Astyanax mexicanus: one gene and its partners. The protein of the gene in region 2 interacts with the protein of the main gene of each other region in a pairwise test. Links are inferred from orthologs where the notes say so. Each region holds a gene or a part of one and is shown on either strand. Other genes may lie near its edges.

What was found.
Region 1: the proteins of tpp2 (region 2) and polb interact in binary tests that used the Homo sapiens proteins (3 or more experiments, as listed by UniProt). The two-hybrid records come from large-scale screens. The link is inferred for Astyanax mexicanus from reciprocal best matches to the Homo sapiens genes TPP2 and POLB.
Region 3: the proteins of tpp2 (region 2) and ppp1r16a interact in binary tests that used the Homo sapiens proteins (3 or more experiments, as listed by UniProt). The two-hybrid records come from large-scale screens. The link is inferred for Astyanax mexicanus from reciprocal best matches to the Homo sapiens genes TPP2 and PPP1R16A.

What each region holds. Positions count from the first base shown.
Region 1 is NC_064419.1:255,707-266,899, reverse strand, and holds the start of polb (DNA polymerase beta), read right to left. Parts: upstream 4,633-11,193; 5' UTR 4,485-4,632; coding exon 4,424-4,484; intron 3,226-4,423; coding exon 3,168-3,225; intron 3,070-3,167; coding exon 3,003-3,069; intron 2,876-3,002; coding exon 2,801-2,875; intron 2,339-2,800; coding exon 2,280-2,338; intron 2,189-2,279; coding exon 2,139-2,188; intron 2,053-2,138; coding exon 2,001-2,052; intron 1,550-2,000; coding exon 1,495-1,549; intron 1,174-1,494; coding exon 1,101-1,173; intron 617-1,100; coding exon 546-616; intron 197-545; coding exon 110-196; intron 26-109; coding exon 1-25. Other genes in the region: enkd1 (enkurin domain-containing protein 1), read right to left, coding at 5,947-6,107, 6,445-6,581, 6,786-6,928, 7,070-7,222, 7,360-7,532, 7,930-8,157, 8,336-8,420; vdac3 (voltage-dependent anion-selective channel protein 3), read left to right, coding at 10,094-10,194.
Region 2 is NC_064428.1:8,695,951-8,707,050, forward strand, and holds the start of tpp2 (tripeptidyl-peptidase 2), read right to left. Parts: upstream 4,377-11,100; 5' UTR 4,267-4,376; coding exon 4,102-4,266; intron 597-4,101; coding exon 468-596; intron 231-467; coding exon 135-230; intron 1-134. UniProt on the Homo sapiens protein: Cytosolic tripeptidyl-peptidase that releases N-terminal tripeptides from polypeptides and is a component of the proteolytic cascade acting downstream of the 26S proteasome in the ubiquitin-proteasome pathway.
Region 3 is NC_064422.1:19,169,247-19,179,808, forward strand, and holds the start of ppp1r16a (protein phosphatase 1 regulatory subunit 16A), read right to left. Parts: upstream 4,095-10,562; 5' UTR 3,961-4,094; intron 1-3,960. UniProt on the Homo sapiens protein: Inhibits protein phosphatase 1 activity toward phosphorylase, myosin light chain and myosin substrates.

The DNA of each region.
Region 1 (11,193 bases), on a different chromosome or scaffold from region 2:
CCTCCTTGTGCAGCTGACACACACCCTGAGAAAAGAAAAATTAGGTTAAAATAGGAAATGATGTGAGACAGAATAAGAAAGTGAATAGGAAGCAGAGTATCGTCCTCACCATGAACTTAGTGTCTCCTTTGGAAAGAGTATCAGTAATAAAGCCAATCGACTCCAGGTGTTCCACCACTGCATGAAGCAGTTTCGGCTGAAGAATAAAAACAGAACAAAAGAAAAAATGCATTAACCTTAATAGTTAAGAGTAGCTGTCTTTAAAAAAAACTAAAACTTCATTAAAAACAGTTTGAGTAAAATATCAAATAAATTAATAATAAAATTACAGTGCAGAATTTTGCCGTTTGCCCATTTATAATCCCATCAACACGTTTACACTAACTAATCTGGAGTTTGTTTATTTTTTGTTACAAAGGAAAAAGAGAGACAAAAAGTAATGTTTGTGTCTGTGTAAACAGAAAGTTGCTTGCTCATATCTGAACTAATAATTAAGGATTATTATTATTATGCATATGATAATTTTTGCATAAGTAAGTGCTTACTTGTTTCTCAGACTCTGAAGTAAAGTCCGGGTGAGTCAGCAGGATATCAATATCACCACTCGATTCCGCGCCTGAAACAGAAGCATATCATATACATGTTCATCAAAGAAAAGCTACTCTTAAATACATGGGTTTATGCATTTTTTTGCTCTATTTTTATTCTTCAGCCAAAATTGCTTCAATATTTGGTGGAATAATCCTGGTTTTTAATCACAGTTTTTTTCAACATGCATCTTAGCATCATGTTCTCCTCCACCAGTCTTACACACTGCTTTTGGATAACTTTATGCTGCTTTACTCCTGGTGTAAAAATTCAAGCAGTTCAGTTTGGTGGTTTGATGGTTTGTGATCATCCATCTTCCTCTTTATTATATTCCAGAGGTTTTTAATTAAGTAAAATCAAAGAAACTCATCATTTTTAAGTGCTCTCTTCTTTTTTTTCGGCGCTCTATAACACATATTTACACTGTTTTCCATCTGTTAGCAAGTAACTATGCAGCACATCAACAATCCATAAATAACTATTTATTTATGTAACACAGCAAATGAGCAAACCTCGTCGGTAGCTGCCACAGATGGTGCCAATGTACTCCGAGTCCAACTCCTCTAATTCTTGTAATATCAGAGCCTGCAACATAAAAAACAGCACGTTAATACATTAATATATTACTACAGATACTACTAATACAGATCAGACTGTAATAGGAGCACCCAGTCCTGATCCTGCAGATCTACCACCCTCTAGTGATCAAATCCAGCACAGCTGACGGTCATGTAATACCTGCCTCACGCTGCAGGATTTTATAAATACTGGTATTAACTGGTGTTAAAAACATGAGAGAGCCACACATCAAGACATTTTTCACTGGATTTTCTGCCTTTAATCACTATTAGTGCTGAAATTAAATAAACAGACACTTTTATATTGCCTAAAGGAATAATGTCCCACCTCCATTTTCTGCATCTCTGAGCGGGGAATTCTCTTCTCAAATTCTTCAAAGTATCTTTAGGAATAATAATAAAAAAAAAACATATCACTTTTTAATCCAGATATTGTTGTATATAGTCGCTGTCAATGAAAAACACTTATGTCCATTTTTTGTTGATTTTTAGTTTACTAAATAATTTAAACAGAAAAACTGTCTCTTACACTGTGCTAAAATGTTTTGATGAACAGACCAATAGAAACTCTTCTTCAAAATGACCTGAAATAAACTCTTTTTACATTGACTTCCATTGAAAGTTTACAAGGTTTTTTTTTCTCTCTCCTGTAAAGTTGCTGTTTTGGAGATAAGTGTTTTTCATTGGACAGAGACGATATATTGCATATATATTAACATAAAAAAATGCATATAACATATACACACAAACAAACAGTTTTACTATAGCAAATTAATAACAATGTAAATATGGTCTAAAATTCAAGGTCTTCATCTAATAAAAATTAACACTTACTTAAGACCAATTTGCTGATGGTGATTCAGTTTGTGCTCAATTTTCTTCAGATCTGAAATAAAGTTGTAAAGTTTATAAAATTGTGATCAGAACATACAAAACAGAAAAGGACATAAATACATAATCAGAGAAACAAACCTTCCAAAGTTTTTACTCCTTCCTCAAAGAACTTTCTAGCAGCAGCCGGGCTAATAAGAAAAGGAACAGTAAGATATTAATACATACTTTATTACAGATTATACAGAGAAAACTGTTATATAAAGGCAAAAATCCACATACCCGATTCCAGTCACTCTAGTTAAAAAGTTAATAGATGAGCTGGTGTCGTCACTGCGAATCTGGAGAGGATAGATGTGATAAACCGGTACAGATGTGAATATGTTTTACAGAACTGTTTTCTGCTGTTCTAACTGATAGAGTCTTACACAAAATGTTTTTAAAAAGTATTATTGGGTCATTTTGTACACACAGTGGTTTAAGGTCTATGCACACCTTTTCTCCTTCTCAGCTTTAGCCTTTGGTTGATAAGATTTACATTTATTAAATATAAAAACAAATACACCTTTAAAACACCTTAAGACTTGATAATAATGGAGATTCTCTTTGTGCAAGTAAGTAGACCTTTAAATCTTGAATTTCACAACTTCTCTGAACTGCCACTTTCTGATAAAACACTGCAAAAACTACAAAATAAAAACGGATTTCACTGATCAAATCCATTTTTTTATACTTTAGACACTATGAAGATAAAAACAGCTACTAACAATGTAAATACTACTCCAGTATTTAAGAGGACTTACCTTCTCCAGTTTACGGAGTTTCCCTGTGGATAAAAACTCATCTATTTTCTCAGCGATCTTTGCACCAACTCCATCCTGAATGAGGAATGGGAGAAAGATAATATCATTCAGATTATAACCACGATGTCCTCATAAATTCTGATTTCCTTCTAATAAAAAACATAAAAATGTCAGTAAATGATTAAGGAAAGTTAAAACGTACCAGCTTTTTTGCTTCAGTGCCACTTTTGATTTTTTGTGGGTATTTAGCAATCACAGAGGCAGCTTTCCTAAAGAGAAAGGATTAGGAGTGAATTAAAAACTTAAAAGCAACACTAAAAAAAGACACCAAGAGCAGAACTGCTGTGATTAATCAACAATGCATTACCTGTAGGCGTTGTATTTATGAATGGCCCTGTTGACATTTCTTTCATAATTGGCCAATTCTAAAAGAGAGAAAACGTCAGATTAGAAGAGTAACTTAGATTTTTACACATGAAGCTCTTCGGTAACACTGATACTGATCATCCTGAGTGAATTCTGACATTATTCCTAGAGTATAATGTTTCAAAACCAGTTATGAAATTGTTGTTATGTGATTACAGTGTTACATCAAGATTGTAGTATTAAAATATTTAGTCATGTACCAAAAGCTGCTCACTGAATTTAGCGTATCAACTAGCTTTCTTGTAAAACACATTCACAGATATGATCAGAAATCATCGGAGGGGATTTAAACCCAGAGCCCAGACTGCTGACTGGATTTTACTTTCTGCTCATTTCACCCACAAAAAAGTATTAGTTAGCTAAATAACTTAGTTAGATAATTATGTAGATAGTTTACAGTTGTTTACATTTGAAAGGGGAACCTAATAGATTCATAGTTAGTCATTTTTCTTTATTATCCTAGCAGGCTAAGCGAGCTAATCTTAGCTTGTTATAAATAGTTAGCTTCCTCAGGCCAGCTAATGAGCATTAGCCAACATTAACATGAGCTAAACTGCAGCTTAGAGTTGAGCTAAATCCATGGAATAAGACATAAAAGCACAATAATAATCAGATATTGTAGCTAAATATTTTAGTATCAGTTTATAAGAGTAATAAATAATAGTTTGTAAGAGAAAAGTCAGGACAACAGCAGCAGGAACACTTAGCCGCTGCGCTAACTAACATTAACATTAGCGTTAGCTAAGCTAACCCTAGCTAAGCTATAGCCGGGGTGTTCTGTCGAGTTACGCTACCCATCGATACGTGCTTCCTAAAGGTACTACGCATGCGCTGTCTTACACTTTTTAATCATTTCTCATGTTTTTTTTTTAATAATAAATCTTTTTTGTGTACATTAAACAACCTTGACTCGCTGTCACTGCACAAAAGTGTAACACAACAATTAATGTTATTATTATTTAAAAAATGTATACATACAAAACCTCTCATTGCCAGAATTGTATAATAATACAATGATTTATGCTATCCAAATATACCAACCTACATCAACATGCTCTAAAATAGAGCTTATTTTGTATTTTTACAGTTAATTATACACTAGGGTAGCACGGTTTCAAAGGGTAGCACGATTCGACAGAACACCGGTCAGCTCCGTGCTCTCCGTGTTCACTGTGTTGGTAAAAGAGTAAATCTTACCGATGAGAAAGTCGGTGATTCCCTCGTTCAGGGTCTCCTGCGGGGCTTTGCGCTTACTCATGTTTATCTGCGGGTCTGTGCGGTGTTTATCTCGGGGTTTATTCGCTGTAATCTGTACTGTGGGGTAGTTTGAGGGTGAAACGCTGGAGACAAAGCTGTGGGTCTGCAGCTGCTCTCCACAGATAAGCCCCTCCCACTACTTACACGTCACCACTAGACTCGCCAATTGGGACAAAGCGAATCTACATAATGCAGTGTATATATATATATATATATATATATATATGTATATATACATACAGTATATATACATATATATATATATATATATATATATATATATATATATATATATATATATATATATATATATACTCAGCTCTGATACATCAGCTCACAGACGCAGCCTTGTGCTGATCCACATCACCCTAGGAGTGATCAGGGGAAAGAGAGCGAGCCATCTACTGTACCCACCCAGAGAGAGTAAGGACTAAAGTGCTCTCTCGGGGCTCCGGCAGCTGATGGCAAGCTGCATGACTGGGATTCTAACCAACAATCTCCTGATCATAGAGGCAGCGCTTAGCCCGCTGGACCACACGAAGCCCCATAATTAACATTAGTTAATGCAATAAGGTCTAACCATCGTTCATGTTTTTTTTTTACTTGAGGTCAAAATGTATGTCTAAACTATATCAAAAAAAAGAAAAACTGCAAAACTGTGGACATTTGAAGATTAGTAGAATTTGTGGCTGTACTGCATTAGTAAGTGAATAAAAAAGGGACAAAGCACCATCTTCAAAATCACATGAAATATTTATTCAACTCATATAGATCACACAGATCAAACACATCACACAGATCACACATGGATTCCTAGGCAGCACTATGTAAAAAATAGTTTGTTTGTTGTTATTTATGTTATTAATAATATATATTATTTAAATTAATATTTTGTTAACAACAAAAATAACATTGTTTCTTTACCATTCCCACAGTTTTAACACTAAATAACATAATTTAAACTAGACTGCAGTACATATGGTAGATTATTTTTTTAACCCACCTTTTTCTATTCTACCCCATTCATTATACTGTAAAAGGCACAGTGATTTAAAACGGCAAAATGGCAGAAAATCATTATATTGAAACGTCTTTAGCTGAAGCCACTTAATGAAAATATAAAAGTTCCAGAAATCACAGAAAATATACATTAAAAATCAACACTTGAGATTTTAAATGTATTCCTTAAAATTACATTTCTGAGTGATGCCATAAATAAGAAGACAAATAATGCACCTCTCAGAGTTTAACACAAATTATGGCAATTACATTTTTGTTATATTGATATTAATTAACAGTGAATAGATTCCTCTTTCAAATACAAACTTTAACTAATGCTTTGTTATTTAATGATTTATTTATTTTAGAAATATATTTTGTCTATCAAAACACCTGAGGTTCAGTGTGTTTGATTATATGTGATAAATGTGATGGGTAAGTAATGAACACTGTAATTGTGTTTATTAAGAGTCATTTTTTACGTAGACTTTATCACGAGAGAATATCTTGATGGCCTCCTCCACTTCAGACAGACGCTGGTCCAGCTCTGCTCGGCGTGATCTCACGCTCACCGTATCCGCCCTGACCGGCAGAGAGAGCAGCTCACTCACCAGAGACCTGTGATCTAAAGAGAGAGAGACAGAGTTTAGCCCAAACCACAGAGTCCTATAGTACAGTAACAGTATTGAATACTATACAGTATTTACATGTACACATTACTGTCCATTACATATTTACACAGCTAATTACATATCTGCATACTTGCACTATTTTCATGGTTGACATAAGTTGACTTTTCTCTGTTTAGATACTGAAAGAGTTGTCTATTTTTAATATACACACATTTTAATCTATTAGCTAATCTAAATGCTTTTAATCTATTTAATCTGTTAGCTAGCTTAATCTCTACACGGTAGTTGTCTACAGGTCTAGCTGTAACTAGAGCTTTGGCGAAAACATACTTTCTCTGAGTGAATTTAGAGTTTCTCTCCTCTCTCTGTCGGACATCTGAGTGTGTCCAGCAGGTGCAGACGGGTCAGGAGCGTTCCTCCGTCTCTCTTCTGCCTCTCTCCTCCACTGCTCCTTTCTTTCTTCCAGACTAAAACAAAGGAGAGAGAGAGGAAGAGAGAAGCAAAAATTAAAAAACATACCAATGACCAATCACACACACTGATATGGGCAGATACTGTAAATACTGTAATAAAGAGACAATGCTCCAATCATGCTTCTGGGTTTGTTTTAACTCTCAGTCAATATGTATGTTCTATGATCTGTGTTAAATATATTTGATATGATCACTCACTACTGGGGGACTCGGCCCTTCACTGCGCTCGGCGGCTGCTTGTTGTTCAGGTCCTGTAGAGACTGAGAGCGTTTCAGTGCGGTCTTTCTCGCAGCGCGTGCATTATGACTCACAAAGTCAACAAAGTGTCCTCTCACCTCCATCTACACCAGGAGATATCAGATATTCATTTTTAATAACATGAAAACACAGTTGTATACGAAATTAACTGCATTCGCTTCAGTTATAAGCAGTTTTCTATAAACAGTGTAAGTGTGTATGTTTATAGGAATGTGTGAGTTTACCTCTGGATCTGCTGTTTGAGGTTTTTGCCCGTTTTCAGAGGGTGATGCCGACACAGACTGAGGCCGACTAGGTTGAGGCCGACCCCCCGCCCCACACACAGAGTGAGCTCTTAGGAAGTTCTGGCATTCTGCCTTTTTGGGGTGGCTTTTTTCCTTCAGACAGAAGTACAGAAAGAGATAACACAAGCACACAAAGTTTATAAACTATACAATATACATTACTCTATTACTATACATTAATGCTGAACAACAATTCCATTCAATTCCATCCAAAAAAATGAAATACTTACTTGTAACTGGGCCATGACCCTGGAGGGGATGTCCTGGTATTTGGGAGAGCTCCACAGGGCTTTGACAGGAACCGGCTTTGCTCGCTCTTTCTGCGCCTCCTGCTCACGGAATCGTCTCTGGATCTCACGCAGCCGTCGCACGTTCTCTTTCCCATAATCCTGAGCTGCAGGTTCTGAGGAGAAAAATAAGAGAGAAAACTTAACATGTAACTTCTTTTGTGAAGCATTTTTTTCCTTTTTTTGAGTTTTTGTTGCACCTTAAATGCAGACACAGTTATATTAATATTCAGAGTAAAGGAAAATCAATCCATTTAATTTTTAGAATAAAAAATCCTTTTTAAAGTGATTTCTGATACTGAAGTTGTGTAAAAGTGTGAGAAGCACAGCCGATGTGTATGTTTTATTACATGTACACTGTTTTTTGTGTTATGGACTGAGCTAAACCTGAAATTGTAACTGAAATGTACCTTAATGAATTGATATTGAATCAAATAGGGATATTTTAAATCAGAATTGATGATTTACAGTGGATTTAGTAAATCAGTGGTGATCCCCAGCTTTAAATCTTACTGTGTTTAACAGGGGGGGGCTTCAGGCAGACTCCCTCCAGTTTAAGGAGAGCCCCCACCTCTCCTTTCTGGCTTCTTTCTAGAATGTGTTTGGCGTTTGGGCCGATGCGAGGAGGAGGATGAGCGGGGCGGGCGCTGTAACAGCCTGGATGCAGAGCAGGGTCTGGGGCTAAGGGTCCATTTAGAGTTAAAGATCCACTTTTAGAATTCCCCTCCAGACGACCCCGAGCTTCATAGACAGGAAACATTACAGTACATAACATTACATTAAGATAAGACACAAAGGAAATAAATGATTGATGAAAAAACTGATCACAGTCACCATCTGACATCAGTATGAACACAAATACAGTTTTAGAGATGTTTTATTATGGTGTTGTTTGGTGAAATAACTTCCAAATCCCTACCAGAAGTAGGTCGTCTGTAGTATTCGGGGAAGAGGGAGGGGTCTGGTGGAATGGGCCCAGAGATCATCGAAGGTCCTTCACACATGATTTCTCCAGTCCCTTAATTCCTAAACCAAGAGTTACAATGGTAGAAGAACATGATGAGGACGGTACCTAGAGAGCAGCGTCTGATCAACACCAGACTATAGGAGTTACAACACAAATATGTTTACAAGTAGAATAAAACTAAGATACCACTGTACAAAGTGAATACACACACACTTCAAAAACTAAAATCTGTTTAGTATGAGGGTATTTTTCTTCTAAATTTCATCTTGTGTTCAGTACCAGTCTGGACACAGGCTTTCTCTTTGAGTTCAGATCTGCAGACTCTTGTTTTTTTTAATCTCAGTATCTTCATGATTTAGAGTCACCTGGAATAGTTTTCTCAGCATCTTGAAGGAAGGAGTTCCTGGAGGTGCTGAACAATAGCTGCTGCTTTTCCTTCACGCTGTGAAGCTCCAGCTCATCCCAATTAAATCACCTCAAATCACCATCTCAGATCATCAGCTTTAGATCAGGAGATTAATGTGGAGGAATAACACTTTTTTACTCTTTACTACAGAGTTATATATATTAATCTCCAACATACATTCAAATTATTGAATAAATACATTTAATAAATAAAGAAAGACATTGAATAGTACTGTTTATAATATTTATCTAATATATTTATTATAACATATAACAATGCACTATACTTATATTCTCGGGGTTAATACGGTGTTAAATGTATATAGAATAGATATAATGTATATATAACAGATAAAAGCTAGCTGTGTGAGCGCTGTGCTAAACCGCGGGTCCGGATCAGAATTACTCAGCGGTGTATAAATTAACCCTGAACCCGGATAACAGTAGGGCTGATTAATAACAGGCTGATTAATAACAGGCTGATTAATAACAGGCTGATTAATAAAGTTACCTGTAATTTAAACGCGTTTTCGGTTCAGTCCGTTTTCAGCCCCGTAAACACACCGCCTGATGACGCAGCAAGCCGAGTCTATCTCCATGGCAACGGCTTAAAGACACAGCGCCGCTTTTCCCCCTCTTTAATAATTATTACATTTTTAAAACATTGTAACAGTTTTATTTGCATTAATTGCGATTAATAAATGTTGCTTAATGTTAAAAGCGGTAACATTAACAAAGATTAAAAACACAACAAAATAATAATAAAGAAATACTTTAATACGGAGCCCCTAAGGAGACATCATGTTAAAAATAATAATCAATTTATTTTTAAAAATGATGTAACATGATGTCACATTGTGGGCTCCATACATTTTCTTTATTTTAATATTATAATTTTATTAAATTGTAGATCATTGTAGAAAACTATCATCTAGGAACTAGGACAATTTTTTTAAGATAAAAGTAACGTTACAAAAAAAGCACCATATTAGAAAATACTCTCAGCAAAAGCGTAGGTAGGATATGTGGATAGGCTAAATCACTGTATAAAGTAAAGTCCAAAAGTGAATGTCATATACGTGATTAGAAACTATATATTTTTATTGTTTTACTGTTTATTTGTTTCTTTTTTCTTTAGGAATTCTAGGAATTATCGTGACATAAACATAAAACATTATAAACATTACCATATAAAAATGTTGCGGTAAAGAAGCACATATTGATAGGTAGCATAACTCGACAGAACATCGTTTATTCCTAATATCTACTCGGGATCGGATAGGCGGGAGAGTGAGAGGAGTGCGCATGCGCGGCGCGTCCTGCCCTCTCCGCCTGTTTCTCCTTCAGTGTGTCCTCCTCTCTCAGAACCGGAGTCCCGCAGCCCGGAGACCGGAGACCAGAGCACGGTAAGAGCCCGAGCAACACCCGCCCTGCGTCTGCAGAGGGTTTACTGTGCAGGCCTGCAAACAGACAGACAGAGAGATATAGAGAGACAGTCAGAGAGAAAGACAGGGACAGGAGGACAGGGAGACAGCAGGGCTCTTACCGAGGCCGCGCCACCGTTACAGCTCCCGTACTCCTGCCCCGTGCACTAACCGAGCTCAGCCCTGCAGCGCCTGCAGGTTCTCCGGTTCTCTGGTTCTCTGTGCGCGTGCTGGGTGTGCGTGTGAATGCTCACACTGCTTATTAAGCTTAATTATCTTATTTATTTTATTTATAGAGATTATTTGTGTAGTATAGTACACGATATCGCTGCTATAGTGTGAGATAAGAGGTTTATTCAGGGCCTGCCTATCTGCAGTCTCCTGTTTTATATTTGACAGCTGAGGTAATTTATTAATTTATTCGTATATAAAAGCTCAACTCCACAAAAACACGCAGTGATATTTATCTTTCTCTGCTCCTGTTTATTCTCTGATGTAACGGAGAGCAATTAAATAATCCCCCCCTCCTCCTCTCGCCTATTAGCCTATTGTGTGCATGCAGGACCGGTGTTGTGTCGATTTTTGCTACCTTGTCAAACCGTGCTACCCTAGTGTATATTTAACTGTACAAATACAAAATAAGCTTTATATTAGAGCATGTTCGCAGTGAAAGTCCCAGTAGATGTAGGTTAGTATATTTGTATAGCATTAATCACTGTATCATGGTAAAGTTAATTTAAAGGCAATGAGAGGTAATTTACAAAACTGCTTATGTATTTTTTATATATATATATTTTTTTATAATTATTAACTTCCTTTTACACCTTTGTGCAATAACAGTGAGTTCAGATTGTAACAGATTAATTGTAAAAAAACAAAAGCACGAGAAATAATTAAAACGCGCTGGTTAGCGCATGCGCAGTGCCTTTAGGAAGCACGTATCGACGGGTAGCATAAATCGACAGAACACCGGCCCTCTAT
Region 2 (11,100 bases):
CTCACTTTCAACATCTGATATTTGTTTTATGTTCTGTTGTGAACAAATTACTCTAAATCATTAAATTTACATTCATTTATATTTTACAGAGTATCACAACTTTTTTAGAACTGATGTTGTACAAAGACACTCACCTGTATTCTCTCTTTGAGAGCTTTAGGGAAAAACTCATAACCGTTCTTAACTCCAATGTGATATTTCCCTGATGGATTCACCCAGGCTTCAGGGATCTGCAGAAAAATGAGAATAAAGTTTGAAAGGTAAGCAGTAGATAAACCAGTGCACTGAAATGGATGAATGAAACCAAAGCTAACATGTTAGCTCTTGTGCAAACCTGACCGGTGCAGCAGGAATACTGTAGTGATTGGGTTTCAGTATAGAGTGATGTAATGTGAGAATAGAGTGAGGAAATAAATGGTGAAAGGGTGTGTAGTCTTCTCGATCAGCGCTGACGGACAGACTCTAACCTTGAGTGTGCGTCCAGACAGCCCAGCCACCACTCCATCCTTGGGCTCCACCACTGTGGACATGTTGACGTCTCCGCTGCCGGTCGTATCGATGATGTCCACAATCTTGGGCTTCCCCTCTGTTGTGGTCTGAAAAAGAAAAAGTTTATAATTCATATCAGTTTACATATACAAATATATACACACACACACATGTATGAAGGTTGGGGAACCAATGATCATTCAATAATATGAGCCAATTGTTTACATGATTGAACTTTAATCTAGAAATGTTATACACAAAACCTGAAGAGTATATGAAGTGTATGTAACCATTTACTTGAGACACTGTTTCTGTTCTTACGGTGATGAATACTTAATTAAAATGTCAATATTAACATATATCCTTCTAAAAAACAATGATTTTGAGATGAATTGGGTCGTTTTTTGTTAAATTTTGATGGTTTACAAGCATGATAAACCTGACCTAGCCAGTAGACGTGTGCCATATTGTATAATACGTAATAATATTGCAAGCATTTTTGCCATGATTATAAAAGATATTTATACAGTCTGTAAAAGCAGTCTGTCTTGTATTTGTTTTGTTATTTACTGTACTTACTTTTAAATTTCAATTTGCAATTCATATACATGCACTAAACAAGCTTTATTTTTGTGGTTGACATTTTTTATACTTTTTATTTTGTTGCACTATTATTACTTTTTTTTTTTTTGGCCCGCCACCACCCCCCCTCTTTGGAGGACTATTAGTACTTTACTGTTTATTTATTTGATTATGTACACATTACAGCAGTTACTAGTTTCTGTTTTTGTGTGTTTTTTTGTGAGTATAGTTAAGGGGGATTACAATTACAGGGATTTGGGGAAGGGTGCTGGGGGATGAAGAAAATGGGATAATTGGGGGAAGATGAGATAACAGGGGGGAAAAAAGGAATAGAAAACAAGTTTGAAAGCAAGACTGATAGAGATAGGAAGGGGAAAAAATATATATATATATATATATATATATATATATATATATATATATATATATATTATTACTGCATACAAAATGAGAGTCAAGTTGTTATTTTCAAAATAGATTATAGATTTTCTTTGGTTCTCACTGAATAGACTCAACTGTTCTGTTTATACTAAATAAAATGTTGATACTTATTTTGTTGCAATAGTTTAAAAATGTAATTAATCAGCTCAACCAGCATGGCCATGCATGATCCGAAACTAATTCAACAAACACTAAGCTCTTCAGGAGCTGGTTAACCAGCAAGCTTACCAATACTGGGCATGCTTTTTTTTTTTTTTTTTTTGGATGAGCAGCTTTTCAACCATCATGACCTCCAAACCCCATCCGCACATGCTGGACCTGATCTGGATTTTTTTGCAGGGAAATCTCGGGCACTTTTCAGACACTGCCTAGGTGATTACTTAAATACACCACTAAATTAAATAAATATGTACCAAGGGCCCAATGCCACAGGACCCCATAGCTACAGCAGGGTTCAGGGGAAACGTGGCGCACTTTAGAGACGCCTGGTCATCTGAGAGAAAGAGGAAAGCGTGAGCAGAACTCCTGGCAGTTGAGGTGAAATCTGGCAACAGGTGCTTGATCCTCTTTCAGCTGCGGGTGCCAGAGCTTGTAGAGTTCATGCCCGGCTGTTTTATAGGCCCTCACCATGAGACCCATCACTCACAGCGTCACCAGTTCAGTTTTGGTTCTAGCTAACATTATTTGCAGTGATATGTTACTTATAAAGGCTAAGAAATGTAGCACTATTCAGATCTAACCGTGTGTTTGTTATCTCCATGTCATAATGCTAATGCAGCTTCACTTACTGCTGTGTGGTAGTGAGCAGTTGATGTCAGTATATAAAACAAACAAACAAACAAACAAACAAAAACAAAAGTCATTTAGGCTAAAATGACAGCAGTTATACAGATAATGTACAGATCTATAAATCTATTCTGACTATTTAAATTCCTAGGCCCAAATATTCTAAATATAATTCTGGCTACGCATATATTACCATCAACATGGAATTTAATGAACATGACAGCAATATTTTTTGGATAATCATAATATCGTCCACTAGGTTTATTTGTATTTTTGTTCATATACATAACAGTAAACTGTATTTTAGCCAATGATTCAATAACTGTGACTGATGATTCAAGGTTATGAATGCTTTGTTATGCTATTCTATACATTTTATTATGTCCGCATGACAACAATACTGTTTATTGCAATAATCTCTAGAATGATACATCTTCCACAAAAAAATCTTATTGTGACAGATCCATACACAACTTATATTAAACTTCACTAACGACATATTAATGGCATTTTTTGCATTTGTACTCTTCAGAACTAATTTACAGACACGGATCTAAAAATTTTAGATACAAGTCATTACAGATATTCATAATTGGAGTTTATTCTAGTAAAAATGTAATTTAGATAAAAGAGAAAGTGAAATTACATGTAAGTAAAAAGTACATTTTATTATAGTTATGTACGGTATTTTTAGAATGTTTTATTGACCTGTTTTTTTCTATATCATTTTTTTCTATGAAGAATAGTAAAAAGAACTTTTTTTTTTTTACTTAATTTTCAAGTTTTCCTTTCTTCCTCTCACAATCAGAATTTCAGAAAAAAATTAAGATTTTGTAACAGATTTGCTATTTATTTACTGTCAGATTATGTGAAATATCACTGGTCAAACATACAGGGAACTCATGTTTCCTCTAATCTTAGTTTTCCTAGTTTTATACTTTTTTTAAAGTATTTTATATTCTCTTACCTTTATTTTCCTGTGTATATAGATGTTATTATATTGTTTGTATAGTTCTTGATATTGTTTTTTTTCCTCTCCACTGTGGGATTAATAAAGAATTATTTTATCGCTTTTTCATTTGGTACAAGAAGAATTTCAGGAAAAATATAGATTTTTAAATGTTTGGATCTTGTAACAAAATATGTTGTACCATTCATTAGTTCAGTTTCCTCACAACCTGAATTTCACAATTATTGATAATTATATGAAAGTGCTGTTAGTGATCTATGACTATTCAGAATGATTTTATGGATCTGTAAATCTGATTATTAGATTACAAGCTAATAAACATGATAGCTGATCTCTGAAATAAGAGATTAGATCAGTAAAATAACATTACACTGATTCTGAATCTGAGTTTTTACTAGTATAATCCTGTATAAAGGGTTAAAGCTTGTTTTACTGGTGTACTGTTGGGCTAAAGCAGATTGCTATAGGAAAATGTTTAGTGTCTACATTAATCTAAACAGCAATATAAAACTAGTAATATTTGACAGACTTAATTATAGAGCTAACTAAGCTAAGCTAAGCTAACATTACAGCCTATAGTTCCTCGGTTAGCATCGCTTGTCAGTGGTTGGCTAAGCTAAGGATGACACAGCTAGCTGCTAGATTAACTAGTTATCTTGTCAGTCAGGCAGTTTAATCAGAAACGCTGTTACGTTTTAGGCGCATTTGGAGCTAAACCCGTGTTTTACACGCTTTAAGCTGAGCCCGTGCTGTCTCTCTGTGTGTGTTTAAATAAGCAGGCTGAATCCAGCCCTGCGGCCTGCTCTCTCCTGAAGCCGCGCTCTCGCATTTACCTGCATGCCGGGCGCCCCCGGGTCCACTCCCGTGTCCAAGACGGCGATGAGCACGCCCCGTCCATCGTACTCCGGAAAGCGGGTGAGGAAAGAAGCGGCGCCGGTCTCTTTCTTGGGGAGCAGCCCGTGCAGAGGGAACGATTCGTCTACGGAATGAGTAGCCATGACCCGACCGGGGGTGACGGAGGAAAACAATAAGCGGCAGCGGCAAGAGAAGCGGGGGAGGCAGGGTGGAGCTGCGGAAAGCCCGGCGCGGATACCCCGGTATAGAGCCGGAGTCTTAAAGGAGCAGCAGCAGCCCTGCGGGTCGCGTCCGCCCGGCTTTATTAACCCTCTATAGCAGAGTGCTGCCCTCAGATAACAAACCAGCTTTTAGTTATTATATCATACCCTACATCCATCCATTCATCCATCCATCCATCCATCCATCCAACCCATCCATCCATCCATCCATCCATACATACCATCCATGCATCTATTCATCCATCCATCTATACATCTATCTATCCAATCATACAATCCATCCATACCATCCATACATACCATCCATCCATACATACCATCCATCCATCCATCCATACATACCATCCATCCATCTATTCATCCATCCAATCATACAATCCATCCATACCATTCATTCATTCATCCATCCATAAAGTCCATCCATTCATCCATACATCCATTCATCTATCCATCCATTCATTTATCCAGCCATCCATACAATCCATCCATCCATACAATCCATCCATCCATACAACCATCCATCCATCCATACCATACTGTCCATCCATCCATACCATACCATCCATCCATCCATCCATCCATTTATCCACCTATCTCTACCATATCATACCATACCATAGCATCCATCCATCCATACAACTGATTCATCCATACCATACCATACCATCCACCCATCTGTACCATACCGTCCATCCATACTATCCATTTATTCATCCACCCATCTATACCATACCGTCCATCCATCCATCCATCTATGAAAAAAATAAATTGAAAAAACGTCTTTAATTACACATTAAATTTATATAATGCTCCGAGTGGTCCAGTGGACTAAGGAACCGAGAGCACTGGCTACTCGGTAAAGCAGTTAGAAAAGAGGTGGGGTCTGACTTCACATGTATCAGAGAAAGCATGTGCTAGTCTATAATCTCCAGGTGTTAGTGCATCATTAGTGATAACGAAAGCAGTCACACTGCTCTCTCCAAAAAACAAAAGTCTCCCAAAAGTCAGACACACAAACTATTATATACAGTGAACAGGTTTCTTTCATTTTAAACATCCTTTTTACATATCAAAAACACTTCACAGCTGCATTTTCCATTATCTGCTCTAACTTAAATGAAATATTTTTGAGGGTATCTGATCATCTGATCTGATCTTACTCTGGGCAACAAAATCCCATCCTCTTTCTTTACCTTATTCTCTCTTTATTTTGGAAAAACTACCCCAATATTAGAGCATAGGAGAAGACCCAGGACTCTGGAGGATTTAGGGAGGTTGTGGAAAGAGGAATGGTGAAATATCCCTCTTTCTGTTCTTTCCCATCTTGTAAAGAGTTATAGGAGAGGATTTAGTGCAAAAATCTTCTCCTATAACTGCTTCTTGGCAAAAAGAGGTTTTTAAAGTACTAACACCAGCACTGCCAATAATTGTGGCACACATGATTTCATTTAAAATATTTATTTCTTAATGTGTGATTTTTTCCCCCACCAAATAAAGACACTTGAATTAAAGCTTAGATTTTTCTCTTTTTTTGCATGATTGTCCTATATTGTATATATAAAAAGCCAAAGAACACTTCTAAACATTGTCTACTAAAAACAGTCATCCATCTTTCACCACTTCTTTAAATGAGATTTGACATTTAAAGGTGTTTACTCATAAAGGTACAGTAGGTACAAATAAATCAAGCACATGTTCTGTTCCTTTATTATGCCAGTTCTCAAGAAAAAAACGATTTACATCTTGCTAGAGATTTGTGGAGCAGTTAATCATTTTCAGTTTGTGTTTAGAGTTTTAAGAAACTGAGCCAAGTTTCTAGAAATGCGTTTAAACATTTGGAAAAAACTGTAAAATCACTTCCTAACAAAAACAACAATGTGGCCATGTACTTGTTTTTTTTAAAAGTCTGAAATAATTTTAATGATTTCCTGAAACATATTCAAATTAACAGGACTATGATTATGCCCATAAACATTAGAGATCAAAATGTTGTTTTACTCAGTTTTAACACCCTTAAAATTTATTTTCCTTCCCCTAAAAGGGGAAATCTCCAAGACCTTACCTTTAAATTTATTTAAAAGAACTGGAACCCCAGCTGCATGAGAAAAATAAGAATCACCTCTTTTTACTTTTACATTTTTTTTAAACGTATCACAAAAGTGTGTTTCCTGAAAGGTTATTTGGCATATTCCACTGAATCAGTGCCATTTCTGCCCCCAGGAAATGGTATGTATAAATGTGCACACAAAATAACTTTAAAATACATTTTATTATTAAACTTAGTGTTATCCACACTGACTAATTGCCAAAGTAAGATATGTAATTAAAAACATTAATAAAAACTACATAGAACACAAAAAAATAGCATTAGTTACCTGTCCCCACTCTCTAACTATAAACTTTACCATAAAATATAATTATTAAAGTCCTTCAGAGATGTAATTTTTGCATTGTTGTGTGACTCCAAATCTCATCTATGCTTAAATAATATTTTTTTAATAATAATATTAAATAATTTATTTAACATAGTATTTAAGTGAAATTACACATTTTAGTTATGTTCCTGGGTTTTCACTCAGTTCTTTTACCGTAACACATTACCCCATTTGAAACATCTGGAACATTCTACGACAGGAAGTCACATCTACAACAGGAAGTGACATCAGCTGGTTCTTCTGAAGATCATGGGAATACCAGAATTAAGTTTCCTCATTAGTTTTTCTGTGTATTTGATCTTATCAATCTCAACACTCCTGTTACATAAATTCATTCTTAGATGTTATTTGTTTATTTTTAAAATACAAATTTTGGGAAAATCACTAGAATGTGCTCAGTGTCCTCATGCTATTAGCACAGCCGCCATTTAACTATTTTTCATGTTTTTGCTAATTCTATGCCATAATAAGTAACAGGAGTTTCAGCATTAATAGCAGTGATTTTTTGATCATAAATATTATAACATAACAAATGTCATAAAATGTTCTCAAACATTTCTTTAAAATAAAGAGTTTCTTGAGAGAAAATCAAAAGAATTGGTGGACTTGCTTTTAAACATGCTTTTTAAATGTCACATGAGTTTTGTAAACATCTTCGGATTAGAAACCTTGTAAAACTGATTTTGATGTGTTTTAAATAGTTAAATACACGTGTTATTAAAAAAAATGAGTTTAATTCAGAAGAGTTATAACAGGCATATGGCACCCATTCAGTGGAATGGCCCATTTACAGTTTGTCCTTCAAGAGACAAGTGTGATGATGTAATTTCCTGAATGATAATTCAGGAAATTCTTCAATGCTGATTATTATTTTTATAGGGGGTAAACTATTTGGTGTGGCGGGTTTGGAAAAAACTGTGGGAGTGTATTGAAATTGTAATTTTATATTTAAAAAGAGGAATAAATATGTAAGGATGGTCAGTGGGGACAAACAAATATGTTTACTGTCTACCACCAGACCTACGTTTTTGTAAAAAATATTAAAATTCTGATTTACATCATAATAAAAAGACACTTGGTTCTTTTAAAATATGACTAAAATATTTCTTTCATTTTTTATTAATTGAAAAGCTTTAAAGTAAAGTTGGGGGAATTAAAGGGAGTGTTTACTCCATCAGTGTGTAGTGTTTCACTGTGGTGTAGAAAAAGCTGTTCACTGATTTTTATTTGTTTTTTTTTAGTTTAGTTTTTCGTTTTACACACATAAAAACAGATAATAAAGAAAAAAAGACAAAGAAAAAAAGAAAAAATCTCAGCCTGTATTTTGCATTTAAATCAATAACAGCCGAAAAGACATAGGCTGAAGCTTTAGCTTATTTTGCCTACCATATATACAGTAAATAAATGTAGTAAATAAAATGTTGTGACAAAACAAAAAAAAACAAAAAAAAAAGAAAATTAAGGTTTAAATAATTAATCATTTGAAAGTTCACAATATATAGACAGCTCATTTATCAGTTATATATTTGTTTATATATTTGCCCTGTTTTTAAACATTATTTTAAATTTATAGAGTGAACTACACATTCTTAAATATTCATTATATTTATTCCACAGCTTTACCCCTCTGACTGATACACATCTGTTTTACATATTTGTCCTTGCTCTATTTCTTTTAAATATATCTATTCCCCCAAGTTCATAGTTGTTCTCTTTAAATTTCCCCTGAATACAATTTAGGAGTAAATTATTTTGTGCTTTGTACATTATCTGTGCAATATTAAAGTCAACTAAATCACAGAATTTTAAAGCATGTAATTTAATGAATAATTTATTGGTTGGTTTGTTGCAGTTTGATTGGTTAATAAGTCATATAGCTTTTTTCTGTAGTATGGTAATTGGATTTGTATTGGTTTTATATGTGTTTCCCCATATTTCCACACAATAGGTCATATACGGCTCTATGAAGGAACAGTACAGTAAATATAGTGACTTCTGATTTAAAATATGTTTAGTTTTATAGAGTATTACAATGGTTTTGGCCAGTTTTGTTTTTACATGGTTTATGTGTTGTTTCCAACATAATTTATGATCAATTATCACACCTAGAAATTTATTTTCATACACTCTTTCAATTTCAATATCATTGATCATAATTTTTATTTTCTTTTTATTTGTTGATTACCAAAGATCATAAACTATGTTTTTCTTAAATTTAATGATGGCTTATTAACATCAAACCATTTCTTTAAGATGTTAAATTCTCTTTCTACCGTATTTAGAAGCCATTCCAAGTTTTCTCCAGAGCAATATAAATTGGTATTATGAGCAAATAGGACAAATTGTAACACTTTAGATGCCTTACAAATATGGTTTATGTACAGATTAAACAATTTAGGTCCTAACACTGAGCCTTGTGACACACCACATGTAACCTTCAGAAAATCTGACTTGATATTATTTATTTGAACATATTGGTATCTATTATTAAGGTAACTATTGAGTCATGAGAATGTTATTCCCCTAATACCATATCTCTCTAACTTTTTCATTAATAAATAGTGATCAATAGTGTTAAACGCTTTTTTTAAGTCTATAAACACCCCCACTGTATATATCTTCTTGTCTATTGCTGTAGCTTTCTCTTCTACTAGCTGCATCACTGCCATCGAGGTGGACCTATCTGATCTGAAACCAAACTTGTGATCGCTCAATACATTGTTTTCTTTTATAAAATGCTCTATGAGCAAATGTCTATGAGCAAATACTTTTTCTAGTATTTTTGAAAACTGGTAAAGCAGATAAACTGGTCTGTAATTAGAGAAATTGTGTCTGTCTCCACTTTTATAAATAGGAATGACTTTTGCAGTTTTCATTGGTTTTAATTCTTGGGGAAATATACCTTTTTGCAGTGACTGATTACAGATATGAGGAAAAGGTTTTATAATACACTTTATGAGTTTTTTTTTTTACCAGCCACATATTTATTCCATTCCAGTCAGTGGACTTCTTGTTTTTTCATTTGTTAACAATATCCAGTATTTCATTTTCCTCAGTCCTCCTAATAAAAATGGAGTGAGAGTTTTTATGAATAATATCTTTATTTATTCCATGCATATTTCTTGGCTCTACAATCTCTTTAGCTAAGTTATGTCCTACATTCACAAACTAAGCATTAAATTTGTCGGCAATTTCTTTGATTTGATGTAAAATTGTATTATCTTCTTTTACAAAATTTTCCCAAACATGTTTTAACTATGCTGTTTAGCACTTTCCACAGTATTATTCCTGTGATGTTCCAATAATTTCTGATAATATTTCTTTTTTCTATCTCTCCTAATACTTGTTCATTTATTTTTATAGGTCTTATATTTGTTTTCTGCTTATTTTGTTCTTTGTTTTTAAAAAATCTTATAAAGTACATTTTTCTTTCAATTCCTCTAGTAATCCATGGTTTTCCACTGTTTTGTGGCTTCTTGTACATTTTCTTAAAGGACAGTTTTTATTTTTTTCATATAACTCAGTTACTATAGTCAGAAAAGTATCATATGCCTTATTTGGATCATCATTTTCATTTACTTCTGTCCAGTTCTGTTTCATTAGGTCAATCTCGAGAGCAGCGATAGCTTCTGGAGTTCTGTTTCTGTAGATACATTTAAAAGTGCCTGACTTTTATTTTTTTTATATTAAACATATTTTAAAAGATTGCTCAAATTGGAAGATGATCACTTATGTTGTTTATGAGCAATCCAGCCACTATTTTGCTCTCTATTTTATTTATAAATATATGTATCAATCAGTGTAGCAGTGTCAATTGTTATTCTGGTTGGTTTTATGATCACAGGTAATAGGCTGTTGCTGTACACTGTATCAATAAATTCTGTTGTTCTGTTGTGTCGATTTGGATTTAATAAATCAATACTGAAATGTTTTAATTTACTCCAGTAATCCTTAATTTTGGAAAAGTTTCTGTACAGGCTTCTAATAAATTATATTACAGTTTTTCCACATTGTATTCACACAAAATGTGGAACTGTGCACACAAATCTAAAAACATGAAGCTCATGTGTAACACTGTGACTCCAAACTGCTAAACTCTGAGCACAATTCCACATGTTCTCACTCAAATATCACTCTAAATCACAGCTTTACAAATCACTAAACACAAACTGCATCATTTAGCACACCCTGATTACCTAAGAATCACTGACCTTCAAATACATCAACAATAAATACATGTTTGTTTCCTCTTTGTATGTGATCTGATTTTCCTCATCATGTTTCTCATTACATAAGTGAAAATTACAGTTTTACAACAAAC
Region 3 (10,562 bases), on a different chromosome or scaffold from region 2:
GCTGCATCCGAAAGCCCGCATTTCTCAGCGGCTATGCCAGAGAAGGCTGTTTCAAAGTGAAGGACCTTTCATCTACAGCTGAGATATGCAGCCGACATTCAGAGTGATTTCGAGGACACGACTAATGTATTCACAACCGTTGATTACCCACTGTTTTCTGTGCACGTACAACACAATAAGGGGATGTTTTATTTATTTATGTAAATAGTAATTGCATCCCATTACAAACCATGATTAGACTGTTCCCTATTTATGACCAGAAAACTTCTAAAGCCCTATCCGGACAGAATTAGTTTTTCAGAGGGTCCTTGGGTAATTTTCTCTTTTATGGGGGTTCCTCTGTGATTTTATTCCTATCCGGATTGACCTCTGAGAAAATGACAGGTTGAATTCCCTACAGTATTTTAAGTCCAGCCTAGACGCACATCTCTGAGATTAGTCACCTTACGTTTAATAAAACAGCCATTTGTCCACTGCCAGGCACCATAATTACACTTTGGGCACGCGTTTCCACGGAGATCCACGTAAACACAACAGTGAGTGGAAATGGAGGAGCTACTGAACGCTTTATGTCATGTGACCGAGAAAGCCCCCCCCCAAAAAAAAAACCTCACTGGTCTAACTAATCCCATCCAGATAAGGCTTAACACGGACTTAACTTGTTACCCCACTGCATGTATTTTGTGTTTCATTCAACAAATATACATAGAAATATAAAGGAAACCCTATAATGCGTCATTTTCTTTTGAAGACACATGCAACACTTTTATTTCTTTACTTCATACATCAATTTAGCCGGTATCATTAGCTCTGGTTTCAAAGATATGACTATCAACATGCTTGCCTATTATGTTCTATTGCAAAGCAATAGAAGCAAAGCAATCTAGAACCATAGCATGTGCGGTCTTTAAACAGACCAAGACAAAAAGGTCAGTTTGTGAAACTTCTGCCCTGCTAGATCTGAAGCAACAACCCAGCCACAAAGCAGCACACCATAAACATAGAGCAGTGTCAGAGTGCTGCAGTGTTTACCAATCAGAAAGACATTTTACACAATTATACACTTCTGATGTCACAGAAACATTTAAGGGAAGACCTTTTCTGATCCAGCATGCCTGCACTCCACATGGTGTGAGAATAACTGAAAAACTGTGGAGGAACTCTAAACAGAGCCTTGACCTCAGCCTCACTGAACACCTTTAGGGATGAACTGGAATGCCCACCGCAAGCCAGGCCTTCTAATTCAACACCAGTGCCTGACCTCACACACAATTTCCACAGACAAACTCCAACGCCTTCTGGAAAGCCTTCCCAAAAGAGTAGAGTCGATTCAAGCTGAAACGAGACGGCACTCCATAATGATCTCCCTGTCGCTGGAATAAATTGCTACATTTCAACCCAATGATTGAAAACATTGTTTATACTGTACTGGAGGCCTGTCAACCTACACACTGCAGCCAGTGGCATACAACTCCACAATGAAGGAAAAGGAGGCCTGAGAGGAAGAGGAAAGAAGCTAGGGAGGAAGTGAGTCAGCAGGGCAAGGAAAAAGGACGGAGGATCAACAGTCCTGAGGGAGGAGAAAAGTGAACCAGAACATTAAAGTGAAAAAGCTGAACAGCCCGCAGGCTGGCGACTTAAACCTAAACATGTAGATCATCAAAAACAGTGACAAATCATGCTTTTTGACAGTGCCGTGATGGATTTACTGTGCTTTCAGGTCCTTATCCCAGTCAAACATAAACTTTTCCTGTCTTTTAGGGTGTAAAGACAGCTTCCTCCGCTGCATGCAGTCTGAGGATTCGAACAGCAGTCTTATATATACACACACGTATATTATTATATATTAACACGTGACAAAACACTCGCTCTGTACACCTCTGTCCTATAAAAAGCACTGAGAGGGGTTTAGCAGTTGCTGGTGAAAATCTGTGCTGTGGTGCAATGGCCATAATCTGCTGAATCTGAGATAATGAGTGTTTATATGCCCGTGTGTGAGACAGTGTGTGTGCAGAAGGATGAGTTTTTCTATATTTGTGGGAACCACGTGTGGTAGGATTGTGGTAGATCAAAACTGACCAGTTTGTGAGGACATTTGATGTTTGCCAATCACACAAAAACACTTTTGGAGTAGAAAAAAAACTCTACTTACAAATATCTTAAAGAGTGAAATGATTTATGTTTGATTACCGATGATCAACTTCACATACGTTATATGCCACTTTTGCCGGTCACAGATCTGTAATATTGGATTCTTTAGTATTGGATTCTACCAGTGAACACTTTCCGAATTGCTAAACAATAACCTTTTAACTCAAAATGCTGTTTAACCAGTACATCTCCGACCACTTAATCGCAGCTGTCAAGAATGTGATCAATACGTTAAATTTATTACCATCCCAACCCAAGTTTTATCACTCAGGAGAATTGTGTTTTTTTTTTGTTTTTTTTTTTTTGTTTTTACAGGCGTGTCCCTGAGAAATTATTATTATATTACATTATATTTACTCATTACACTTTTGCCACTGACAGATCTGTAATATTGGTTCCTTTCGTTAATAAATAATTGAGCAAGTCTATTTTTTGTCTTATTTTATTGATAAATATTTTTTTGTCTACTTTAAGGATTATCGTGATAAGTTTTGGGACAAATTTAGGTAACATTTTACAATAAGGTTTCATAAATTAATAGTACTTATGACAGAATGTCTTGACTGATTATTTATTAACACTAGGAAAGACATCCTTTTTCCTTTAAAATTTTTGGTAGGACTGTGGAAGGACATAAGAACATTTGATATTTGCGAACCACAAAAACATTCAAAATTACTGTAATTACAATTTTTACTTTTGATTACTGAGGTTAATGTTAGCATTATGATTTAGGAGTAGTATTAATTGCCACTGACAGATCTGTAATAATGGATCTTTTCTTCAATACATTTTTGAGCAAGTCTTATTTGTTTGAATTAATTCTCCTCCTACTTTTAGGACTAGTGTGATAATTTGATGAGGTTTTGGAATACATTTAGGTAACTAACGTTTAACAATAAGAGTACATCAAACATTTTAAAAGTCTAAATGTTTGTTTAATTAACCTTTCATTTAACACATGTATTTAACTGTACTTTAAAAATGGTTAAATGTTTATTCAAAACAAAAAAAAAACAGTTTTCTGTGGAAGCCCATTCCAACCACCTAAAATAGAAAAGCACTTTTTTATTATTAAGTAAAATGTCTCAATTCATCGATTACAGCGTTCTTGGTTTAGTAATGTTTAATAATGTCTTAACTAATTTAATTTAACAATTATCTGAGGCATTATTAAACCATTTAACAAATGTTTTAACGGTTATTTATGGCCCGTATTGTAATGCTTTACCCAAATTTAGCCAGAAATATAGAAAATGTTTTTTTCACAAACTTTTAACAGCCACTGTACACGACTTACTCACTACAGAATTAGGTAACTAGTTAAAAAAACACGTTTTAAGAAAAGAAAACTTAGTTTTGCTATATAAACATATTTTTACCCGCTCGCTGCTGACAGTGTATCCAGGTATTTTCCTCCGGCTCCGTTTATACCGGAGTACCGCCGCTCACCTCCGTCTACCGTTACCGAGCTTAGCCTGCTAATCAACTTTAGCCCCCGTACAGCCGCCGGGTCCTCCACCCGCAGCCTGACTGAATGAAACCCGTCAAAAAGTCCCTACAGGACGGTAAAAACAGCTGTTAAAGCCGTTGTTTTGCAGTAGTGGGTAATTCTGGTTGTCCAGTCGGCAGTGGGAATAGTAGTAGTAGTCAGACGGCGGTATGGAGAGTCGGAAGTGGCTAAAGCTGTTAGCTCGACACAGCAACCTGTTACAGAACCGACCTGAACCAGCCCACCTGCGCGAACACACCTCGCACCCAGCCGCGGGTCACCACAAACAGCAGGAGGAAGTTAGATAGGTGACAGACCTGTGGGAAGCTGGCGGTGCGGTGAATTCGGGAGCTCTTCCCCGGCCCTGGCTGAGTCCCGGTCGGCTGCGGGGTGTCTGCGCGCCGCGGGGGAAAAGCTTCTCCATAACAACCGGACAGGGGGAGGACCCGGCGCGGCGACACTGCAGCGGACCGACAGGGGGCTCTCAAACATCCTGACTGAATTTTATATACTATATATATATTACTAAATTATACAGTAATATTGTCTATCTGCTTATAATTAACACAGACAGGAAACAAAATAACGGCTTGGGCCCAATCCCATTTCTTTTTTGTTCCCTTCCCCTTGAAACAGAGTTAGAAGGGGACGGGTCTAAATCTGTCCCCTACGAATTGGAACAACCCTTCAAGCACCTGATACAGATTTGCAGGTGCTTCTCAAAAAAATATATGATTGAAATGTTACTTTTGGTAATTCAGTTAAAAATTTAAAACTCATATATTATATAGATGTATTACACACAGAGTCAGCCAATGAAAACCTAAAAATCAGTGTCTCAGAAAATTAGAATATTATATAAGACCAATTGGTACTTTTGACAGTGTGGGAAGTGTGCCAAGTCCTGCTGGAAAATGAAATCCTCACCTCCATAAAAAGTTATCAGCAGAGGGCAGCACGAACTGCTGTAAGATTTCCGGGAAAACAGTGCACTGACTTTGGACTTGATATAACAGTGGACCAACACCAGCAGATGACTCTCCAAACCATCACTCATGGATCATCTGTAAACTTTACATTTCATTTGGAAATCAAGAGACCAGTGTCTGGAGGAAGAGTGGAGAGGTACACAGCACAAGCTGCTTGAGGTCTAGTGTGAAGTTTCCACAATCAGTGAAGTTTTTATGGACTTTTTTTATGGAGATGCGGAATTTATGTATTACAGTGGTATGAAAAAGTTTGGGCACTTCTGATCATTTTCATGATTTTCCTTTATAAATCACTGGTTGTTTGGATCAGCAATTTCAGTTAAATATATCATATAGCAGACGAACACAGTGGTATTTGAAAAGTGAAATGAAGCTAGCTAACTAGCTGACTACTAAGACAAACAAACTGGCTATAAAAAGTTGAAACTACACGTTAAACTATGGTAATATAATGGTTATCGTCATTTTTAACAAGGAAATTATCGACTTAAAATTGTGGGGTTCTTTAGGTGCCCCTAACAAGAATCGGGCCAGCTTACCCCTTGGCTTGCAGTGCAAAACAAGGGTAGGGCTAAGTGGTTGGGCCTAGGGGTGAAATGGACTGGGCCTTGGTATCTCAAAATAATGACAAATAATGAAAAAACATTTTAAAATAATGACTTTCCTTAAACTAAGTAACTTAGAATCTTAAAATAATGAAATAACATTTTAAAAATGATGACTTAGTATCCCAATATAACTTGGTGTCTCAAAATCATGACTTGGTATTTCAAAATAACAAATTAATAGCTCATAATAATGACTTAATAGCTCAAAATAACAACTTAGTATCTTAAAATAATAACCTAAACACTGCAGCTGCGTCCCAATTGTGTATCACACAACATTATGGGTTTGTTTCCCAGACAGGGATTAGGCCTAGTCATAGACCATGGTCGCGTCTCAAAATAATGACATCTCAAAATAATGACTAGGTATCTCAAAATAATTAATTGGTATTTTGAAATAATGGAATAATTCTTTTTAAATAATGACTTAATATCTCAAAATAACAACGGAAAATAATGACTTAAACAGACTGTGGCTGTGTCCCAATTGTGTATCACACACTTCGATTTGTTGGTTTCCCAGACAGGGATGAGGCATAGTCATAGACTAATTTTGCATCCCAATTGTGTACTAATTACTGTCTAGTGTTTGAGTATGTAGTATGTTGTATAGATAAAAGTTGTATAGATGAAAGTTGAGTAAGCTGAAATATCCTTGGCCACAAGTGTAGACGATACAAATCCCCTTTTCTCTGCAGTAAAATTAGTTAATTACATTCTTAATACTTTGAGGGCTTTGGAGACTCCTACAGGACACTTTAAGAAGCTGCCTGATCACTCTCTACTTTACTTAATAATTTAAAATCAGTAACAGGAATCAACACAAATTCTTCATGATTAAAAACAGACATAATATCTTCTCATTATATCTTGGTGTCACAAAATAATAAAAAAACATATCAAAATATAGACATGGTATATTAAAATAAGGACTTGGTATATTAAAATAATTACTTATTATCTCAAATTAACGAATTGGGATCCAAAAATAATGAGAACATTTCAAAATAATGACTTACTATTTCAAAATAATGACTTAGTATCTCAAAATAATGACTTGGTATCTCAAAATACTGACTTGGAATATTAAGATAATGACTTATTATCTCAAATTAACAAATTGGAATCACAAAATAAGGAGAACATTTCAAAATAATGACTTACTATCTCAAAATAATGACTTGGTATCTCAATGTAATGATAACATAAAAAATGACTTAGTATCTCAAAATATTGACTTACATTTTAAAATAATGAAAAAACATATCAAAATAACGACTAGGTATCTCAAAATAATGAGGCAACCTCTCATACTAATGACTCAAATAATGACTCAAAATAACAAGTTAGTATCTTAAAATAGGACCTAAACACTGTGTCCCAATTGTTTATGCCACAATTTTTACATTTAACAGTTTATCAGATCCTGTCAGCTGTAAAATGTAAAAAGTAACTGTCCCTAGTGGATTGGTATACAGATTCATCAGACATTGACCTCAGGACATCCATCAGATAGGACCCCAAGAAAACTGTCAGATAGTGACCCTGGAGTATTTTTATCATGAGGCAAAATGGGTATTAGAGTGCAACTCCAGAGAGATCCATCAGAGGATAGTTCAGGATAAATGACTCATAAAATGACCTCAGAGTGATCCTTAGAGGTGTTTTTGGAGCAACCCACCATAGGGTGACCCCAGAGGGGTCAGTCAGTGAGTGATCATCTGCTGTAGGTGAACACACTGAAGTAAAACACCAAGGAGCTTAGTGGAGCAATTTACCAGGGGTGACACTACAGCCATCCACCAGGAGGTGCCAACTATTCATGGAGCAACACACTGAAGATATAAAACTGAATAAATTATATTCAAAGAATAATCCTAACAATAATTATCATGTTAATCACCATTATTATTATTGACAGTAATAGTAGACGTATTTGATTTTTATGATCGTTTTATATTCTATACATCCTTTTGTTTGAATGAAGTTATATACACAATGATCAAGCATACCTTTATGACCACCTCCTTGTCTCTACACTCATTTTTCATTTATTTTAGCCCCACTGAGCAAAAAAAATGAGACCACTTAAAAATGATGAGTTTCTTTAATTTTACCAAATTAAAAAAACTCTGGAATATAATCAAGAGGAAGATGGATGATCACAAGCCATCAAACCAAACTGAACTGCTTGAAGTTTTGCACCAGGAGTGGCATAAACTTATCCAAAAGCAATGTGCAAGTCTGGTGGAGGAGAACATGCCAAGATGCATAAAAACTGTGATTAAAAACCAGAATTATTCCACTAAATATCGATTTCAACAATATTACAATATTTCAATTTGGAATTTGTGAGAAATGTTGTCTGTAGTTTATAGAATAAAACAACATGTTCATTTTACCTATAAAAAGCAAAATCACAGAAACTGATTCAGAAACTGTAGTGGTCTCTTAATTTTTTCGAGAGCTGTATATTGTAGGAGCACTTTGTAGTTCTATAATTACAGACTGTAGTTCAGTGGGAACCTGATTCACTGGAATAGAGAATTGATAAGTGAAAGAGACAGAGACAATGAACAGGTCTTTAGAAATACGTTTTATTGTAAATAGGATACTGTAATGAGTGTGAAATTTTTTTAAGTTTTACGTAATCTTAATTAAATACAGTAAGATAACCCTTGTTTCTTCTTTGCTTCCCAGCTCTGCACACAAGACGATGTCCAGCCTGACCCCAGGACACTGATAACGCTTTAATCTGGAGATTACTCGAGCGTGCTGTCCTGTCGCTGCAGTGACGGACTGCAGGGAGGCGCTGGAAATGAACCATCCTGTTTTACAGGCTGTTTACTGCAGTATTACACTAGTGAAAGAGTTTCTTTAATGCTGATTAAATTTTATTTGATAGAAGAGTTCTGAGGGGGCATGAGAAGATTTCTTTTCTAACAATGTGAAGCATTTTCTGCTTCTTGTTGGAGCTACAAAGTAACTGGCACACAAATCCTAGGCTATATTTCTCGGCCCCTACATCATAGAGGACTGTTCCAAAGTGAAGGACCCTTTGTATACAGATACAAAATACAGCCGAGCTGCACATTAGAGCATATCAAAAATTTAAAAGTGTGTTGGCTACTTTAATATGTGCCAATTGCTATAATATGTGCTTGTTCTGTATGTGCTGTAGCTGTCCTTTTAGGCATCTTCACATTACGCTTTGCGGAACTCCAACTGTCCAAGTGTATTTTTGGGCATCTCTGAATGTACATTTGAGAGCATCTCCAAGTGTCATTTATGAGCATGTCCAAGTGTGCTTTGGCGCATCTCAAAGTATTACTTTGGGCATCTCCGAATGACCTTTTGGACATCTCCAAATGCTACTTTTTTACATCTCCAAGTGTCCTTTTGGGCATCTCCAAGCGTCCTTTTGGGCATCTCCAAGTGTCTCTTTGAGCAACCTTAAGTGTCCTTTTGGGCATCTCCAAGCGTCCTTTTGGGCATCTCCAAGTGTCTCTTTGAGCAACCTTAAGTGTCCTTTTGGGCATCTCCAAGTGTCCTTTTGGGCATCTCCAAGCGTCCTTTTGGGCATCTCCAAGTGTCTCTTTGAACATCCTTAAGTGTCCTTTTGGGCATCTCCAAGTGTCCTTTTGGGCATCTCCAAGTGTCACTTTGGGAATCTCCAAGTGTCACTTTGGGAATCTCCAAGTGTCACTTTGGGAATCTCCAAGTGTCACTTTGGGCATCTCCAAGTGTCCTTTTTGGCATCTTCAAGTGTGTTTTTGGGCATCTCAAAGTGTCCTTTTTGGCATCTGCCAGTGTCTCTTTGAGCATCCTTAAGTGTCCTTTTGGGCATCTCCAAGTGTCCTTTTGGGCATCTCCAAGTGTCCTTTTGGGCATCTCCAAGTGTCCTTTTGGGCATCTCCAAGTGTCCTTTTGGGCATCTCCAAGTGTCACTTTGGGCATCTCCAAGTGTCCCTTTTGGCATCTTCAAGTGTGTTTTTGGGCATCTCAAAGTGTCCTTTTGGGCATCTCAAAGTGTCCTTTTGGGCATCTCCAAGTTTCCTTTTGGGCATCTCCAAGTGTCCGCTTGGGCATCTCCAAGTTTCACTTTGGGCATCTCCAAGTGTCCTTTTTGACATTTCCAAGTGTCCTTTTTGGCATCTCCAAGTGTCCTTTTTGGCATCTCCAAGTGTCCTTTTTGGCATCTCCAAGTGTCCTTTTTGGCATCTCCAAGTGTCCTTTTTGGCATCTCCAAGTGTCCTTTTGGGCATCTCCAAGTGTGTTTTTGGGCATCCACAAGTGTGTTTTTGGGCATCTTCAAATGTCACTTTTTGCATCTTCAAATGTCACTTTTTGCATCTTCAAATGTCACTTTGGGCATCGCCAAGCGTCCTTTTGGGCATCTCCAAGTGTCCATTTGGGCATCTCCATGTGTCCTTTTGGGCATCTCCAAATGTCACTTTGGGCATCTCCAAATGTCACTTTGGGCATCTCCAAGTGTCCTTTTGGGCATCTCCAAGTGTCCTTTTGGGCATCTCCAAGTGTCCTTTAGGGCATCTCCAATTGTCCTTTTTGGCATCTCCAAGTTTCCCCTTGGGCATCTCCAAGTGAGTTTTTGGGCATCTCCAAGTTTCTTTTTTGGCATCTCCAAGTGAGTTTTTGGGCATCTCCAAGTGTGTTTTGGGCATCTTTAAATGTCACTTTAGGCATCTTTAAATGTCACTTTAGGCATCTTCAAATGTCACTTTGGGCATCTCCAAACGTCCTTTTGGGCATCTCCATGTGTCACTTTGGGCATCTCCAAATGTCACTTTGGGCATCTCCAAGTGTCCTTTTGGGCTTCTCCAAGTGTCCTTTTGGGCATTTCCAAGTGTCCTTTTGGGCATCTCCAAATGTCCTTTTTGGCATCTCCAAGTTTCCTTTTGGGAATCTCCAGTGTCCTTTTGGGCATTTCTAAGTGTCACTTTGGCATCTCCAAATGTCCTTTTGGGCATCTCCAAGTGTCCTTTAGGGCATCTCCAATTGTTCCTTTAGGCATCTCCAATTGTTCATTTGGGCATGTCCAAGTGTCCTTTTGAGCATCTCCAAGTGTCCTTTTGAGCATCTCCAAATGTTCTTTTGGGGATCTGACAACATGCCAATCAATGTCAAAAAGCCTATAGGTGTCTCCCCATATATGTCCATAGTATGTTCATAGTATGTGGACATAGCATCTCAAGTGTCTTTACTACTGCAGTTGAAAACCTAAACATCAACCTTGGTTCGGGTTCTCAAGAAACAATGGGGAAAAAAGGAGCTTAAGTAGAAGCATTCAGTTCTACTAAATAT